Arabidopsis thaliana: one gene and its partner. The protein of the gene in region 2 purifies or fractionates together with the protein of the main gene of each other region. This does not show direct contact. Each region holds a gene or a part of one and is shown on either strand. Other genes may lie near its edges.

Region 1 (7,125 bases), on a different chromosome or scaffold from region 2:
AGAAGAAGACCGTGAGGAAGAAAAAGACAAGGGAAGGGATGAAAAGGACACCAAGCATCAATCTCCAGCTAGGTGATGGCATCAACGACATTCCGAAAACCATACAGTAAGATAAGAACATCCCTCCAGAGCCAGTGAACTGCGGTAGCGTATTCAACAGTCCCCTAATCTCAGGTGGTGCAGTCTCAGATATATAAATAGGAACAAGTGTGACCACAAGACCAACCCCAAATCCATCTAACAACCTTCCTAAGAGCAACACATAAACATTCGGAGACCATAGCATTACTAGAGAACCAACAAAGTAGAGAATTGAGGACAATATTAGCATGGGACGGCGACCAAGCCAATCAGCTACCCCTCCAGAGCATGTTGTAATCAGAGTAGCACCAATAAGTGACATCGCCACAATTAGACCTTCCACTGATGGATTACTCTCCAAATTAAACTCCTTTTTTATGTACAACACAGCTCCTGCAGAGTACCCAAAGAAAACTTAAAATCCATCACACAAGCAAAAGAGATAAGCTAAAAGATCTGTGAATTGTATCCATAAAAATCCTGACTTTATCGATCCTAAATTTCATAAACAGAATTATGGATACAGAAGATAATCAATCACCTGCAATAGTTGCGTTATCCCATCCTTGTAACAAGTTGCCAACAGCAGCAGCAATAGCAACAAGCACAGCTCCACTCATAATTCCGTCTTCTATCTTTTATCAAGAAATCTGAAGAGAATTTCGCAAAAACAGAGTCACTGATCAACGACGATGAGTGAGTGAAACAAAATCCACCTGAAAATTCGAAAATCAGACACAATCACTTGGTGAGCTAAAAGATAAAACAGAGAGAGATAACACCAAAAAGCATGACCTAAGACTATAACAAACCCTTTAGTGACGTAAAAGACACATACCCAAAGGAGTTCTAGAAAAAAAAAACAGAGGTGAAACCTCAGATGTCAAAATCAAAACTTTGAATAAAATTTGACTACTTTTTATCTCTACCAAGTAGAAGAGAAAGTAAGAAAGTACGAGAGAATATGATATACAGAGAGAGAGATGAAAACTAGGGTTAGCAACTTGGAATTGGAGGCAGAAGAAGCCACTATCAGTGAGCCGCTGCTTCAATGGCGTCACTAAGCAATCATAAAGCATTGTTTACCCTTTTGGTTTAAATCAAAAAAAAAGAAAACGAAAGCTAGATTTCGAAGTAACCGTGAGAATATAAAAATGAATACTTTTTTTTTTTGTGCGGAAGGACAGTGAACAGAGAGAGAAGCCTATGGGATTAGTGACACCTGCCGTTTTGCTCCTGTCCTCTCAAACCACGTATGTGTATTGTGTGTGTATGTCTCTCTTCTCTTTCTCGTGTTTGCGTACAGAATTTTTTCAGAGAATTAAGTACATCTTTAAATTTTGTTATCTTTTCGATTTGGGTCCACGAGTTTATTCACGGGCCTATACAATCAAATTAATATCTCGAAATGTTTCTGCTTTTTACCATCTTCGCTTTCATGAAGTAAAGGTAAAAACGGATATTAATTTGGGATTTTGTATGTAAAAAGATGAGTTTAATGTCGGCATAATTGGGGAAAAATATTTGGTGTTTTTTTGTAAATATGAAACAAATATAGGATTGGTTTTTGAAATCTTAGATTCATTGGGACTTATACGAGAAACTAGAGATAAATATCTGAGTTTTCTGAAAACAAAGTTATTGGTAAAGTAAAGTTTAGTTTGTTTACATCCGGAAAGCATCTTCAAATCATTTCAACTTTACATAATTAATCAAGAAAGAAAGAAACAATGCAATAATGGAGAATAATGTCCAAAGTCCAAATACAATGAGACACTTTAACTTTAGTTAATTGTGAGTCGTATTCGTATGTTACAATATAATGAATAGTTTTTTCTTCTTCACTTTACTATTCTTCTTACAGATTAAAAGGGAAGAAAAAGAATGTATAAAAAATCATATTGAGTTTTTTTTTTTTTTAGAACCGAGTACCAAATTCGATATACAGTCTCTAATTCTAAATGAATAACATTAACAAATTTTGATCAACGAAAAACAAACCATGTGACTACGACAACTACTGGTTTTCTGAAAATAAATATCTATCGTCCGTATATCAAAACTTGATATGTATAAAACAAAAGATATATTGTTAAACGTCGTTGTTAAAGTTCGTATATTTGACCGCAAAGATTACCATAAATGTATTTAGAACATAGGAAAAACATCTAATTGGTTAATAAATATTTATGACTCCATATTTCTTAGATATTTTCCGGAAATGAACGTAGTACAAGCGTTATGTTTGGAACTACAGTACACACCACAGAATATAAACACGCAATAGAATCTTTTTTCATAGACTTTGAAAGTTATGGCATGTGAATGCGAATATATAAAGATTCTTGTCCACATCCTCAATTAATCATCATCATTGCTTCTTAAAAATTCCGTAGAATGAGGAGAAACGTACCATTTATGTTTACTGGTAGTAGTGATTACTGATTTAAGATATTATTCTTGGGAAAGAAACATCTAGTAACAACATTTTGAAAAGAAAAAAATCAGAATGATTATTACGGAAAAATGAAAAATTCAATAACGTTATGTTTGTCACCAAACTAATGTTAAAACGAATTCAAACCAAGTTGGAGAGATGTTACAGGACAGTTTTGCTAAAAAAAATCAGCCAGCACATTGATACAAAACCCAAAATATAATTTTGCTTGTGTACGTGGAGGTGTCAAATTTGATTCAGTCTTGTGAAAATGTCAATTTGATAGCGTTTATAATTAAAATTTTCGGTTCTTTTTTTTATCTGGAATTGAAATGTGTAATATGTTATCATTTTAGGCCTTATTGTAAGGTCTAAAGTCTAAAACAATACAATAATACGGCCTTTGGGGTGTCTGAATTTTGTATTTGAACATTGGGCTGGATCAGTGAATAAACAAGGCCCAAAAGTAAAACTTATTAGGGATTATGTGCGGGGCTCCAGAAAGTTGCAATATATGGAAAAGTCAATCTCTTACGTCATAATAGTCAGTGACGCCATAATACTGTTTAAATATTTGGCATATCTTTATCTTAAGAAAAAATCTCAAGAGATTACTATTCTTTCTGATAGGAGATTGAATGAACGGTTGCTTCTTTTACAAGTAGATCACATGTATTTAAATTAGTCTTCTCATACGACGAGAATAAAACCATCGTGCTTAATACTTAAATTTTTTTACAATTAACGGTAACTAGTAAAACCAGAAATGCATTTTGATTTTGTACAAACCAACATTCTAATTTTAGTTTTTTTTTTCAATTACAATTTAAACGATAAACAAAAGAGAAACTGGTTTAAATTTAATAATGCAAAAGCAGAAGAAAGAAGGTGAGAGGAAACAGCGGAGAGAGACAGAGTCAGAGAGGTGTAGAAGTAGTAGCTGGTGAGCACTAATAAAAGACCTTTCTTCGCTCAATCGCCGCCGTAAAATAAAACACCATCACATTCTCATCCAACGAATCTAATCTATCCGACCAAACCAAAGCTCTTAAAAAATCTATTTTTATTCTTACTTCAATCTCTGAAATAAATAAACATAAAATATTGTAGCTTTCCTTTGTTGTTCGACTTTTCTCTTTTGTCTCCCCTAAATTTAGTTTCTCCTTTTAAGTCAGATTCCTTCCTAATCCCATTCTTTCAGTCTTCTCTTTCGCCCTTCTGAGTTCAACAACTGGTAACTAGATCCTCTTTTTGCTTTACTTCATTCTCTGTTTTGTTATTCCTTTAAAAGATCCATCGAAACTTCTTAGCTCTTTGTCTTTTTTTTGGTTATTTTGACTCTTTGATCTGATGTGGGTTTTGCGTCTTTCTTTACTTGTGGTATTGTTAAAGTTCGTTACTTTGTTCTCGTTTAGCTTCTTGTATTTGGTCTAATTTAAGTCTTTTGACTTTTGACAGTGTTATCTCTATGAACAGTTCCTTTGATGAAGAACACAAAGTGAAAGTTGCTGTCTTTATAACCAGGATTTGGTAATTCCCATTGTTTCATGGGCAATTCTTGCCGTGGATCTTTCAAGGACAAACTCGACGAAGGCGATAACAATAAGCCTGAAGATTACTCTAAAACCTCTACCACCAACTTGTCTTCTAATTCCGACCATTCACCGAACGCTGCAGACATCATTGCTCAAGAATTCTCCAAAGACAACAACAGCAACAACAACAGCAAAGATCCAGCTCTTGTTATTCCTTTAAGAGAACCAATCATGAGGCGTAACCCAGACAATCAAGCTTACTATGTTCTTGGTCATAAGACACCAAACATTCGTGATATCTATACCCTTAGCCGCAAGCTAGGTCAAGGTCAATTTGGAACGACTTATCTATGTACAGAGATTGCCTCAGGCGTTGACTACGCTTGTAAGTCAATATCCAAGAGGAAGTTGATCTCTAAAGAAGATGTTGAGGATGTTAGAAGGGAGATTCAGATAATGCATCATTTAGCTGGTCACGGTAGTATCGTGACGATTAAAGGAGCTTATGAGGACTCTTTGTATGTTCACATTGTTATGGAGCTTTGTGCTGGAGGTGAATTGTTTGATAGGATTATTCAGAGAGGACATTATAGTGAGAGGAAAGCTGCTGAGCTGACTAAGATCATTGTCGGTGTTGTTGAAGCGTGTCATTCGCTTGGTGTGATGCATAGAGACTTGAAGCCTGAGAATTTCTTATTGGTTAATAAGGATGATGATTTCTCTCTCAAGGCTATTGATTTTGGGCTATCTGTCTTTTTCAAACCAGGTAAAGTGTTTGAAGCTTTTAGTTAATGTTTTGCTTAACTAGGCTGGTAAAAGAATCTTATGAAACAGAATGTGACTTTCAGGTCAAATATTCACTGATGTTGTTGGAAGTCCATATTATGTTGCTCCTGAGGTTTTGCTCAAACGTTATGGGCCTGAAGCTGATGTGTGGACTGCTGGTGTTATATTGTATATATTGCTAAGCGGAGTCCCACCTTTCTGGGCAGGTATTTGTCATTTTCCATGTTAGCCTGTTTCTTAGTCATGTAGAAAGTCTAAGTCACCTGAAATGTGTTTTGTATTGTCGTTTTTGGAATCAGAAACACAGCAAGGGATATTTGATGCTGTGTTGAAAGGATATATCGACTTTGAGTCAGACCCGTGGCCTGTGATATCCGACAGTGCTAAAGACTTGATCCGCAGAATGTTATCCTCCAAGCCTGCAGAACGTTTGACCGCTCATGAAGTCTTGCGTACGTATTCACATAAATGATTACTTATAGTGACAACCAAACAGCATTAGACTAATATCCTTTTTTCAGGTCATCCATGGATCTGTGAGAATGGTGTTGCACCAGATAGAGCACTAGATCCAGCTGTTCTTTCTCGTCTCAAGCAATTCTCTGCAATGAATAAACTAAAGAAGATGGCTTTGAAGGTGAGTGATTTTGTGCGTAAACCCTTTATCTTCTTTGGTCTCTGCATCACTTCTCATGAAACTGTTTGTTTTACTCTTTGTTTTGGGCTCATCAGGTTATAGCTGAGAGTCTCTCGGAAGAAGAGATAGCTGGTTTAAGAGAAATGTTTCAAGCAATGGATACTGATAACAGCGGGGCAATCACATTTGATGAACTCAAAGCTGGGCTGAGAAAATATGGATCTACCTTGAAAGACACAGAGATCCATGATCTTATGGATGCGGTAAAAATCTAACCTTATTTGGTTAAGTACATTGACAATGAAGTATTGTTATGTATTCTTACACTCAGCTCTTTTATTGACCAGGCTGATGTAGACAACAGTGGGACAATAGATTACAGTGAGTTCATTGCAGCGACGATCCATCTCAACAAACTAGAGCGGGAAGAGCATCTTGTTGCAGCGTTTCAATATTTTGACAAAGATGGAAGCGGTTTCATAACAATTGATGAGCTACAACAAGCGTGTGTTGAACATGGCATGGCTGATGTTTTCCTTGAAGACATCATCAAAGAAGTTGATCAAAACAATGTAAGCTTATATGATGATCTGTTCCACATTCCTCGCTAGGCTAATGTCGAGGCATCAGCTGATAAAAAGTCTTATCGGTTCTTATGTTGGTCTGAACAGGATGGAAAGATTGATTATGGTGAGTTTGTGGAGATGATGCAAAAGGGAAATGCTGGTGTTGGAAGAAGGACGATGAGAAATAGTCTAAACATTAGCATGAGAGACGCGTAGAGGTTGTTTTCCCCGGTGTTTAATATGTTAGTGCGATCGTGACTGCGAAAATGTTCTTATTCATGGAATCAACAACCTCAATGCTCACCACCTAGAAGGCGATGAAAGAAGACCAAACCGGATTCATACCTGTGGATGGTTCGAGTTTTGTTTAACGACTGTGTGATTAATCGTCAAGTAGTTTTGGAGGTTTTTTCTTTACCTCTTTGTTGTTTGTTCATTATGGCCATTGTTGAAGTTAGTGAGCTTTGTTCATCATCTGCCATTGTTAAACTTTGTTCACTTGTATTTGAAAAAAACAAAAATGTCTTTGTATGTTGTGTGATTTCTAAGCATTTTTACTTTGAAAATCTATTTCTTCTTTTCTAGACGATCACGACCCTTCATCCATATCGGACTACACAACTCGATATTGAATAAATTTATATGAGAATAGTACCAATGGCCTATGATGTGGAAGATGATGAGCTAGCAAGTCTCAATCATGTAAATGAAAGTGCTTTTTCTAAGTAATCTGTATTTAAACTCAAATAAAACCAAAACTCAAAGCTGTTCCAAGCAAATTATTCATTGGCCACAATCTGTAATTTGGAACATTATGCACCAAAACCATTTTTAATGTATTTTACATATACAGGTTTTTTGGTACTTCTCCTATACACATGGCATATTCATATTAACAAAAAATATTTATTTTGGTGTCACTTTTCATATTTTATTAGTGTAAAATAACCTCTTCTTAAGAGTAACGTATGGCAATTTGGTCAGCTTTGTTATTTAAAAATTATATGTTAATTAGCTAAAATACGATCATTTGTACCCAAATTCTCTTAATTTAAAACTAGTCCGACTTGAAAGTAAAAGTTT
Region 2 (10,872 bases):
AAGCAAAAACTATAAATTTAAATTTGTTATATTGACGTCAAAAGAAATTTGTTGAAAGTTGAAATTTAGAAGCTGACTTTTGCCCAACAATATATAATGTAATTATGTTAAACATGTAAATAAAGTGTGAAAGTCTGGTCAATAATTTTTATTTATTTGTTAATGTTTACACATTTTGATGAGAAGTAGTTGTTGGTTGTGATGTATCCAAGGATAGCATGTGTTACCCAGAACCTTGTTTTGTCTTGTTTCTTTTTTCTTAAGTTCATTATTTTATTTTATAAGTTACTACGTGAGAGTATACCAACAAAAAAAAAAAAAAATGATAATTTTGTCATTTCACGCCGACTGACTTTAAATTATTTTTTGTGCACATATTTTTATTTCATATTATAAATTTTCGTCTTTGCACAAAACATAACGATATAATGTTCGTCATAATTAACACAGTGGATGAATTTGTCACTGCTTTGAATTGATGTATTCATCATCACCATCAATATTATTTGGATTACACGAGCAACTTGAAAGAAGAGTATTTACTTTCAGCTTAGAGAAAGTTGAAATAATTCTTATTTTTAGAGGAATGGTGATATATATGATTTGAAGTCATCATCCATATCTTTGGACGTGACTCGCAGAGTCATTCTTTGCTTTTGGTTTTGCATAAAGTTTTATAGTAGTGCAAACAGCCAAATGATCATCTGCAATTACAAATAACAATACAATTTACATGTATTATATTATTATCGTAAATAATTTTAATATTATTTTATTATAATTTCTTAAGTTTCCCTATAGCAAATTACTACGGATTTGCAAGGATGTATATTATTATTTTGTGTCAAATCAAATTATTTAAAAGAGTTATTGCAAATCCATAGCAATACTTGCCAATGATTTACTAGACATATTTTGTGAAGGATCTATTACGAAAATCTTTCTTCCCAAAATTTACATGATATTTACGAAGTATTCGAATTTGCAAAAACCGAATTACGAGAGAATGTCTTTTCTCGTAATTATCTGGCAACTTGCAAATAACATGTTTTCTTGAGTGTCTGCCCATGAAGAAGAGCCGTAGCACTGAGAAGCCCTCTCATTGTAAATATTGTGTTGTCTTCATCTTCGCTGAAACGCTCTCTCATTGTAAATGTCTTGTTGTTGGCTTCATCTTCTTTCTATGATAGAGTCTTTTGAGATAGAGTCTTTCGGGACTGGATTATATGATAATCTTTCGAGAACAACACATCCCTCGAATGTGAGTTCGCATTGCTAGCTAATCACTCTCTTTCGCTCGAATTTACAACATTGTAAATATCTTGATTTATGAAAACCAAAACTATACGAAAACCAAGAATGTTCTTGTTTTAGAATTAAATTTAAATATTATCTTCAAGATGAAATTGATCAAACAGACAAAAGAGTGATAGAATAATCACATTAGGCCATTAAAAAGCAAAGTGCCTTGTCTCTTCAAAGGCAAAGGGCCTTGTTTCTTCAAAGGCAAATTTGCAAAGCTCATATCGAGTAGGAGTTTTAAGAACAATGACTAACAATAACAAAAAGAAAAAAGAGTTTTGGAAGAGTTATGGCAATACACAAGAGTTCTCTTCCCTCTACTGTAATGACTTTTAAAGAGAGATTTGTGAAGACAAAACAAAAGATGAGTCATGATGGGGTTGGTTTTCGGTAAATGTTTGTGTTGTTGTGCAACTCCAACTACACAGTGTAGTGATGTCCTGCTGTATCAATGTCCAATCCCTTTAGCTTTGCGACTGATTCCACATGTCCCTTCAATGTGTGAAGCTCCCTAAGCCTGTCACAACATAATATTAAATCATTCACCAATCAGAACCTCTATCAAATGGCATCTTTCCGTTGAGATTCGTTTTAATCACACTACTTACCTAGCTATCTCGGCCCTTCTCTTGGCTTGCTCTGCGATCTCAGACAGCTCTCTGTAACTTCCTTTCTCTGGGAAGATATTAACATCTTCTTTTGGCTGCAGACCGTGCAATGTCCTTTGAGCTTGTGCCCATTGAGCTTCTCTTTCTCCAATACCGTAATCTTTCTTGGTTGTGAAAGCGGTCTGTTAACATAGAAGAAGATGTGATTAGTATGTTACCATCAGCTTGTAAAAGAGGTCTCTATAGTGGTAGATAGACTTGTATGTACCCTGTTGTCAAACAAGCTGGCCCAAGCCTTTCCACTCAAGATATACCGAATGGCAAACTTCAAAATGTCCTGTGGGAAGTATGTTACGATACTGTAAATCCAAATCACACCTGCCCATCCCCAACCGATACCCTTCACCTTTGCAAATGTCCAGTCGGCATACACTGCGATCAAAGTTGCAACCTGCATTTGGAAGGAGTGAATGAATTCAGTGGGTTTCTTTAACCTAATCGAAGTTCAGAAAATATGTGTGCTTGATGTCCTTACCAGTTGTGCAATGACGAATGCAATCATCAGAAGCGCCCCAGGACGTTCGACAAATGACCAACTCCTTGACCTGGTGACAAAGATTAGAGCTTGACTGATGATACTAACTTGTAGATACACAGCACCCATTAGTTCATCGTTATTGTCCCTGATTGACCTCACACCGAACTTGTCCTGCAAATCGAAGGTGAGACAATTTTTTAAGACTCAGAGCAAAAGGCCTGGCCATATATATCTATATAGTCCCTGAAGCACCTGTACCAAAAAAAAGAGAAAAGAAATGAAAATAAACTGATGATGTACCGAGAAAAAGTCGGTCTTGTGAGCAGCCCAGAAGAAAATAACACTCATAATGGCTTGGTAGCCTCCCAGCACAATTCCAGTGGCGAAAATTTCTTTGAGCTTCCAGCTATCAGGTGTGGGAGATGGCTTGACTCTGTCCTTTGAGATTGTCATGATAGTACCTAAAAGGTAGTAACACATAATACCATAAGATATAGCTGATAACGAGTGAGGACGCTGTCTAGAAAAGTAGGATGTTATTTGCTCACCATCATTAAGGATGGCAATAATCAGAACCATGAACGCTGAGAAGTCAAATTCCCATATCAAAGCAATAAGCATGAAACCAAACTGCAAGAGTTACAACGCAATATGATCAGTATACAAAAAGTAAAATCATGCTAAACAAGTGATAGATTTGTAAAACGGGTTTCTACTTACCACAATACGGATTGTGATTGAGACTGCATAAATCTGTCACAAGCAGGAAACTAAAATTATTAGTTTCCAGCGCAAACGAACACAAGTGGTGGGCATAATATATTAGAGTGAGATTAAGAATACGCACGGTGTAGTTCTTCATTCTCTGGAAGATAGCTCTGCTAGTGAGAACGGCACTGATGATGACACTCAGCCCAGGTTCCGTGAGGACGATATCTGAAGCACCACGAGCAGCATCTGTAGCATCGGCCACAGCAATACCGATATCTGCTTTCTTCAAAGCGGGTGCATCATTAACACCATCACCGGTCATACCAACAATGTGCTTCCTCTCCTGCAGCTTTTTCACAATTTCATATTTGTGCTCTGCAATCAGTAACCATAAGAACCTTGGATCAATATAACAAAACTTTATAATGAACATGTGATGAGGTTTGAAACTGAAAGCAAGGCATAACCTGGAAAGACGCCGGCAAACCCATCAGCCTTCTCGATCAACTCCTCAACAGGGATGGATGCAATGTTCGAGTCCTTGTCGGTACCGAGAAGAGCCGCAGATGGATACATATTGGTTCCCATTCCAAGCCTGCGACCGGTTTCCTTACCAATAGCAAGTTGATCACCTGGCAACGTAGTTAGAGCGCAAGTTAGGGGAAAACATCTAAATAACCATGGATTTCATGGGAAAAAAATGATGAATAAGAATAGTTACCAGTGATCATCTTCACATTAACACCTAGATTCAACGCCCTACGAATGGTTTCGGCACTGTCGTGTCTTGGAGGGTCAAAAAGAGGCAACAAGCCAACAAATTCCCATGGTCCACCTGGGCTTTCTTTTGTTTTCTCGGGTACCACCTAAAAAGGAATATGCAATTAAACAGTTGATTTACAGGCCAAAAAAAAAACCCAAATAAGACCAATGTAAAAATTGCTTGTAAAAAAGTACCTGACGAGCTACTGCCAACGACCTAAGACCGCGCTCAGCGTACTTGTCAATACAAGAGAGTACCTTCTTCCTAAGGTCAGGCCTGGCATTGGCAAGGTCAAGGATCTGTGTGGGAGAATCGAATTAGTACACAGAATAAAGGAAAAACGCAACATCTTTAGGAGAAAGTTGAAGATTCATCACCTGCTCGGGAGCACCTTTGCTGACTCTGTGCCAGTTACCATCAGAGTCGATGTAAGTCAAAGCAGTTCTCTTATCCACAGGGTTGAATGGAAGGAAGTGAACCTCTCTGATTCCAGCTCGGGCCTATGAAAATCCAAGTGAAACATAAGAAATTAAGAACTTGTTTTCTCGACCTTTCACTAAACTAAAGAAGTAATTCAAAATGATTAGAGTTATACCTCTTTCGGATCAGCAAGCATTCCAACCATGGCTGCATCAATAGCGTCCTGGTTCTCCACCCTAGAAGCCATAGCTGCAAATAGTAGAACTTGATCTTTCTCCACACCCTTGCAGAAAACCTCAACCAAGTTTTTATCCACACTCAATTTATTAAGGGTTAGTGTCCCGGTTTTGTCACTGCAAAGGACATCCATTCCCGCCATTTCTTCAATGGCTGTCATACGTTTGGTGATAGCACCTTGCTGAGACAACCTGTGAGACCCGATAGCCATAGTCACAGACAAGACCGTGGGCATAGCAATGGGGATACCACCGATCAAGAGGACCAAGAGATTGTCAATTCCATCTCTGTACTTTCGGTGTTGGATAGGGTACATGACGACTATTTCAATCGCTATACCAATAGCAATAGAACAGATACAGAAGTTTCCAATGGATGTAAGAACTTTCTGGAAGTGCCCAACTTGGTTAGTGCTGTCCACAAGGTGAGCAGCTTTACCAAAGAAGGTGTGAACTCCAGTGGCTATAACAACCGCTTCGATTTCTCCTTGTTTACAAGTTGAACCAGAGAAAACTTCTTGACCAGGGTGCTTGGTCACAGGAAGGGACTCTCCAGTTAGAGCAGACTGATCAACCTTTAAAGGATCTCCTTCAAGAAGACGGGCATCGGCTGGGATAATGTCTCCAAGTTTAATGCTAACAATATCACCTGGGACAAGGATAGCAGCCTCTTGTTCACTCCATTTTCCATCCCTAAGAACCTGAAAACAGAGAAACAGGTTAAGCTCTCTAGAAGTCTCGAAATATCTTGTACAGTAATGTCACAGCATCCACCAACATATTACCTTGGTTTTAGGAGCAAGACCAGCCATGAGAGCAGCTGCAGCATTTCCGGCGTTGTTTTCTTCAATGAAACTGATTGTGGAGTTGATAACAAGCAGACAGATAATACCCACAAAATCTTGCCAATCCGGAGGTCGATTATCACCATTAGCCAAAGCAATGGCCATGAGAGCTGCAGCTTCCATAACCCATGAAAGCGGATTCCACATGAACCCCAGAAACTTCAGAATTTTGCTTTCCTGATATTTTTTTACGAAAGATCAACCTCGTGAGTTAAACAAAACCAAAGCTTTCAATGATGATAAAACAACAATGCTAAGTCAAACTCAAACCTTCTTCTCTTCGAGCTTGTTGGGGCCAAATATCACAATCCTGTCTTCCCCTTCCTGCGTTGTCAATCCTTCCCTTGTACATTTTAGCTGCTGGAAAACTTCCTCAATCGGAATTTTTTCCTGAGAATCAAAGCAAAAGTTTTGATCAGAACCCAAACAATAGTAACTCAAACATCAAACAAGAACAAAAGGGTAAAAAAGACAAAAACTTTTCTAGTTTTGAAATCTTTTTACAAATGTCAGAAACGATCCAACTCGGCGACTCGGAAGATGAAGAGTGGCGTTGACTCAAGTTGTGACAATGAAAGGTGAAAAGAATCTGGCAGTGGAGGATAGAGGGACCACCACCACCACCACCACTACTACTACTACTTCAATGCACGTGTTATGGAACGTGTAACACACGCGCCTGCGGGATTCCCTCCATGAAAGGTGGCTACTTTCCGGCGTGAAAGCCAAAGTCCGGTTAAGGGTATTTCGGTCATAAAACAATTTCACTAAACAAAATCAATTACAATAGAGGAATTCACAAGTTGCTTCTACTGATAGATGTTTTACAAAAGGACAAAGAAGTTCAAAAAAAAAAAAAACGTACTACGGAAAGGTACATCAAAAAAATTCGAACATCAACAACAATTTAAAAAAAAGTTGAAAACTTAAATTTATTAAAAACTCTGGTATTTTTCATGGGTGGAAGATAGAAGAATATTATGAACTGCTTTAACATCAAAAACGTTATCTTTACAAAAAAAAGATGATTTTTTTTAGAGAAAGAAAGTTATATATCACAAGCAAAATCAAACTTTTTGCGATTTTTTTCTCTTTTAATAAATATGTGAAAGAGACTTTTGTTGAGACGTAGCTTAAGCTTAGCTCCACCACTAAAAAGACTTATCTTTTTATTCAGCGTTTCACATGTGTGTAGTTTTTGGGTAGATCTACTTTTTCTGATGAACAGTATCAAAATCTACTTATTTTTGGCTTAATACCTAAAACCTTTAAAAGACATCTGTTATTTTACCCTAATTTTAGACCAAAATTAATAAAGTTGGAATCTTGATTTGGGTTTTGTATAGGATCCATGATAGAATCATCGAAAATGAGGCAGATACAATTGGGGGGAAAAATCGGTTTTTTTTTTTTTTGCGGATTTTTCGGGTTCTTGAGGAATTAAGATTCAGTTTTCGATCAAAGAAAAAAGGAGTAGAATCATCGGAAAATGATTTGAAGAAAAAAGGGTAAAAGAATCAAACGTGAAACCATGCAAGGAACAACAACGAAACAGATCTATTTCTCATTCAAGCAAATCATCGAACACTTTGTGGGCATGATGAATAAACACTAAAAATGAAATTAAAAACTCGAAGAATTTAAGCGAGAAGAGAATCGAAATAATACCAGATCAACGGTCTCGTTCTTGATATCTTCGAGACCTGACATCTTCACCCAGAAGAAATCAACAAAACGACGCCCCTCTCTGTCGTTTCACCACTCGATCACACACACACACACGAGAGAGAGAGAGAGAAAGCGAGCTTCTGTTGCAGAGGAGATATACGCCTTCTCTTTTTATAACCACTCAAAACGACGAAACTCTCCACCGTTTCAGACTTTTATTTTTCATTCATTTCGACCGTTGATTATGATTTGGTGATCATCAATGGTTGTTAATTGTTTATGGGTCCTTTCTCACTTGGAAAACGTATATTTGACTTTGGATTTTTGGTTTTATAATTAAAATTTCAGATATCATACTGTTTTTTGAAACATTGTTTACTTAAACTGGTTTTATACTCTGATCCTGTAATGTAAGAGAATCTATATTTATTTTTTTCTATTAAGAGAAACTTTTTACTTTTGAGTATCAAATTTAGTAGAAATCTTAACATTAACACAAATTTAGGATAATATACTAAACTTACATAAGAAATTTAATTCTATGGAGTTAGTATTTTTCTAGATATTTATGCATATTAGAATATGATTTAAAAGACAAAACTGTAATGTATAGATTTTAAAAAATTATACAGTATTGAATTATCATAAGAAAAATATCTAAGATAAATTTAAATTTTTGATTAATATTGTGGTTATGTATGGACAGAAAATATGCACAATCATAAGTTCTTCACTGATATCTTTTTGTGTATATAAAATTGATAATCAATAAGGAAAAATAATATACATAATAATTATATGAACATTGAATAATGCTTAAAATTTGGGTTCTTTTTTGTTCCCAAAGAGTTGTGCAAAGCTAATCTTAATGACTTCTATATAAGTTACTCATTTTGAAGGAAAAAAAAAACAAACAAAATTTAAAATACATACATGGATTTGTGAATATACATATATATATATATATATATATATAGAGAGAGAGAGAGAGAGAGAGAGAGAGTAATATAGATATAACATGTATATTTGATATATGTGTGTAGATACTAACTTTATAATTCCCTATGAGACAAATGCAAAAGTTATTTTCTAGATCAACCTAATTTGCTCATAAGTTTAATTTTCATGTTGATTGTTTAGGTCGGACTTTTAAATCAAAGTGTTTTTAAAACAATTCGTATGTAAACATTTTTCCTTCGGATTATACAACCAATCAAAAAGTTGAATTTTAATTAATTTGTAATTGGAAAATTAAAATCAACCCGTATAATACTAATTTGTTTAATAATATGTTAAATAATAGTGGCGAAGTAGAAACCGAGAAAATAAAAATTTAAATGATAATTACTAATTGAGATAAAAAAAACTAAATATTTTCTAAGTTTAGTGAAACATAAAGTTAAAATGACGATTCTAAAACACTATTTAAGAATACCGATGTTGAAAAGAGATGTTCATAAATTTATTACTGATGTTCAAATAAATTAACTTGACCTGTTTTAAAGGTGGTGAGTACACTAAATTAACTTGATTTGGTCTCTTAAGGAAATTAAAAGACAAGTGTGAAAAAAAAAAAAAAAATTAAAAGACAAGTTTCTTCCAGAAAAAGGGATGTTTTGAAATATAAAATTAGGTTTAGACACAGATTATAAAATTTAGGAGTTTGGGGGAAAATATTCAGATGACGTCGATCTAAAACTATAATAAAACACATATTAAGCTAGTAATGATATAAAACAATTTGTTATATGTGAAATTTTGGTAATCCTAATCTCATATTTATGGCTTTAAAGGATTGTAATGAAGCAATGGCTCTTCCAAGGTGCCTCATGGCAAGGTCAGCAATTGCTGGAACAATTCACATGTTTGTGGATATCATTATTTTTGTAATTTAACCAAAAATTGTTTTCAAGGTTATTTATTTATTTATTCAGCAAATTGGCTGATGAATATTGACTTTTTGATCGTGCTGGGTCCCCCAATAATACACCTCCCCTACGTAATTTTTTTTTCTTGCTTCCATAAATTCGATTGTATTTTATCTAAAAGATCGATTTCATAAGAGAATTTTAAAAACAAAGAAACAAGAAGATGATGGTTTAATTCAACTGGATATATATCGGCACATATGGGCAGGTTTTTCTCATTTATTATTTGATCATTTATGTATCTGATAGACAAAATCAATTTAACTTTCATAGGTAAATACATAAAAGTATTTATTTAAATGTGTATGCTTTTTTTTTTAGGATTTCAAAAAGTTAAATTTATTCGTCATATTCTTTGTTTTTATAACAAGGAAATATAAAACCAACATCCAAATAATCAGATCTATTTTTTGAAACATTTTTAGCTGAGTTAATTAGCAAAATATTAATGGAAAATATACAAAACAAATTACAAAAAATAATAATCATGTGATTTCTTGCCATCAATTAGTTTTCGGTAAAACTATTTCTGTGCTAAATTGTTTTGTACGTAGAATATTAGTATGATATGGCATCCTGAAATCATATAGCTTCAACTCTATTTAATAAAATCTGTTAACATTAAAATCATATAATATAAAAGTGATATATTACAGAAAAGAAAATCACCCATTTAGGTTAAATGAAAGGTTAGATCATCCAAACAAAATAGAATTTTTATATTCCATCATTCCATTATTATTAGTTCTTAGCCTAATCTTTTTTTTCTCTCGTACTTAATAGTATTCATTATTATATTAGCCTCCAAAAAAGAAAATCATTTGTTACCACGTTTTCTTAAATTTTACCAATGAATAAAACGAGTAGCTCTACGTGAATATTAAATGAAATATTTTTGAAGGTCAACTATTAAAGTACTTTTTCATTTGCTTTTAGTTAGTTATTTAAAATTATATTTTTAGCAACTATAAAAAAAATTAGCCATTTTGCAAATTAACCCTTGCTTTTGATTCTGTTTGATATATCAATTGATTATATATAAACACTTGAAAAATATTTTAGCATAGAAAAGGTCGCTAATTAAATTTTTACAGAGGTCTGTTAAAAACAATTTTGAAACTATTCAGTAAGTTATGCTCGCTAAACTGTTATCTGTAAATACTAATTTTAAGTGGTATTTTTTAGAAAACTAACGCTAGTACTACAATACCCCAAATTACTTTTGTTTCTATCACTTCTTTTTTCTATTTTCCATTTCTACCACAAACACAAGTAAAAGATTGTATATATGTTTTAATACAACCATACAGTTCAGCAGACAGAATCCAAATAGAACACCAATAATATATAATAAGTTTGTTTTGCATAAAAGTTTACTTTCATCCTCATGCGAACATATTAGAATCCAAGTGTTTATTATTTATTCATATAATTATAAGTACTAGCATAATGATAATTTTGTTAATACACTGACATCAATATAGCGAGGGCGATAAGTTTTCAACTACGCTTGTGATTAGATCATTCGTCGTAGAAATGGTCACATAATTAAAAATAAATTGACAATTGTATTTTCAATTTTATAAACATATGAAAACAACACGATTCTTCTCTTTTTTAAGACCCAGCAAGATTTCATAACTGAATCACAAATTAACAAATATGAATCAAAAATATAAACTATCTCTCTGCCACTGAACCTAATGATACTTTCGTGAAGGTTCGCGATATATCGTTATCAGGAAAAGTAATGTTATAGTCTTACTTATTCCTTTTTTTGGAAGAGGTGATGGGAAGAGTTATATTTAATCAAGTGTCGTTAGCTCAATTGATAAATACTTTAAGCGAAATTT

Evidence for each region. The genes of interacting proteins can lie anywhere in the genome.
Region 1: the proteins of HA1 (region 2) and CPK5 fractionate together in Arabidopsis thaliana (co-fractionation; one study listed by BioGRID). This does not show direct contact.

Annotation. Positions count from the first base shown.
Region 1 is NC_003075.7:16,798,371-16,805,495, forward strand, and holds CPK5 (calmodulin-domain protein kinase 5), read left to right. Parts: upstream 1-3,234; 5' UTR 3,235-3,752; intron 3,753-3,976; 5' UTR 3,977-4,065; coding exon 4,066-4,819; intron 4,820-4,901; coding exon 4,902-5,045; intron 5,046-5,138; coding exon 5,139-5,291; intron 5,292-5,360; coding exon 5,361-5,476; intron 5,477-5,571; coding exon 5,572-5,739; intron 5,740-5,823; coding exon 5,824-6,048; intron 6,049-6,147; coding exon 6,148-6,258; 3' UTR 6,259-6,625; downstream 6,626-7,125. Other genes in the region: TMT2 (tonoplast monosaccharide transporter2), read right to left, coding at 1-474, 623-701. UniProt on the Arabidopsis thaliana protein: May play a role in signal transduction pathways that involve calcium as a second messenger.
Region 2 is NC_003071.7:8,218,119-8,228,990, reverse strand, and holds HA1 (H[+]-ATPase 1), read right to left. Parts: upstream 7,478-10,872; 5' UTR 7,134-7,477; coding exon 7,092-7,133; intron 6,839-7,091; exon of another isoform or gene 5,814-6,838; coding exon 5,694-5,813; intron 5,601-5,693; coding exon 5,364-5,600; intron 5,280-5,363; coding exon 4,518-5,279; intron 4,423-4,517; coding exon 4,300-4,422; intron 4,222-4,299; coding exon 4,117-4,221; intron 4,026-4,116; coding exon 3,881-4,025; intron 3,792-3,880; coding exon 3,627-3,791; intron 3,535-3,626; coding exon 3,296-3,534; intron 3,202-3,295; coding exon 3,169-3,201; intron 3,079-3,168; coding exon 2,997-3,078; intron 2,910-2,996; coding exon 2,749-2,909; intron 2,620-2,748; coding exon 2,446-2,619; intron 2,362-2,445; coding exon 2,179-2,361; intron 2,093-2,178; coding exon 1,911-2,092; intron 1,820-1,910; coding exon 1,723-1,819; 3' UTR 1,369-1,722; downstream 1-1,368. UniProt on the Arabidopsis thaliana protein: The plasma membrane H(+) ATPase of plants and fungi generates a proton gradient that drives the active transport of nutrients by H(+)-symport. The resulting external acidification and/or internal alkinization may mediate growth responses.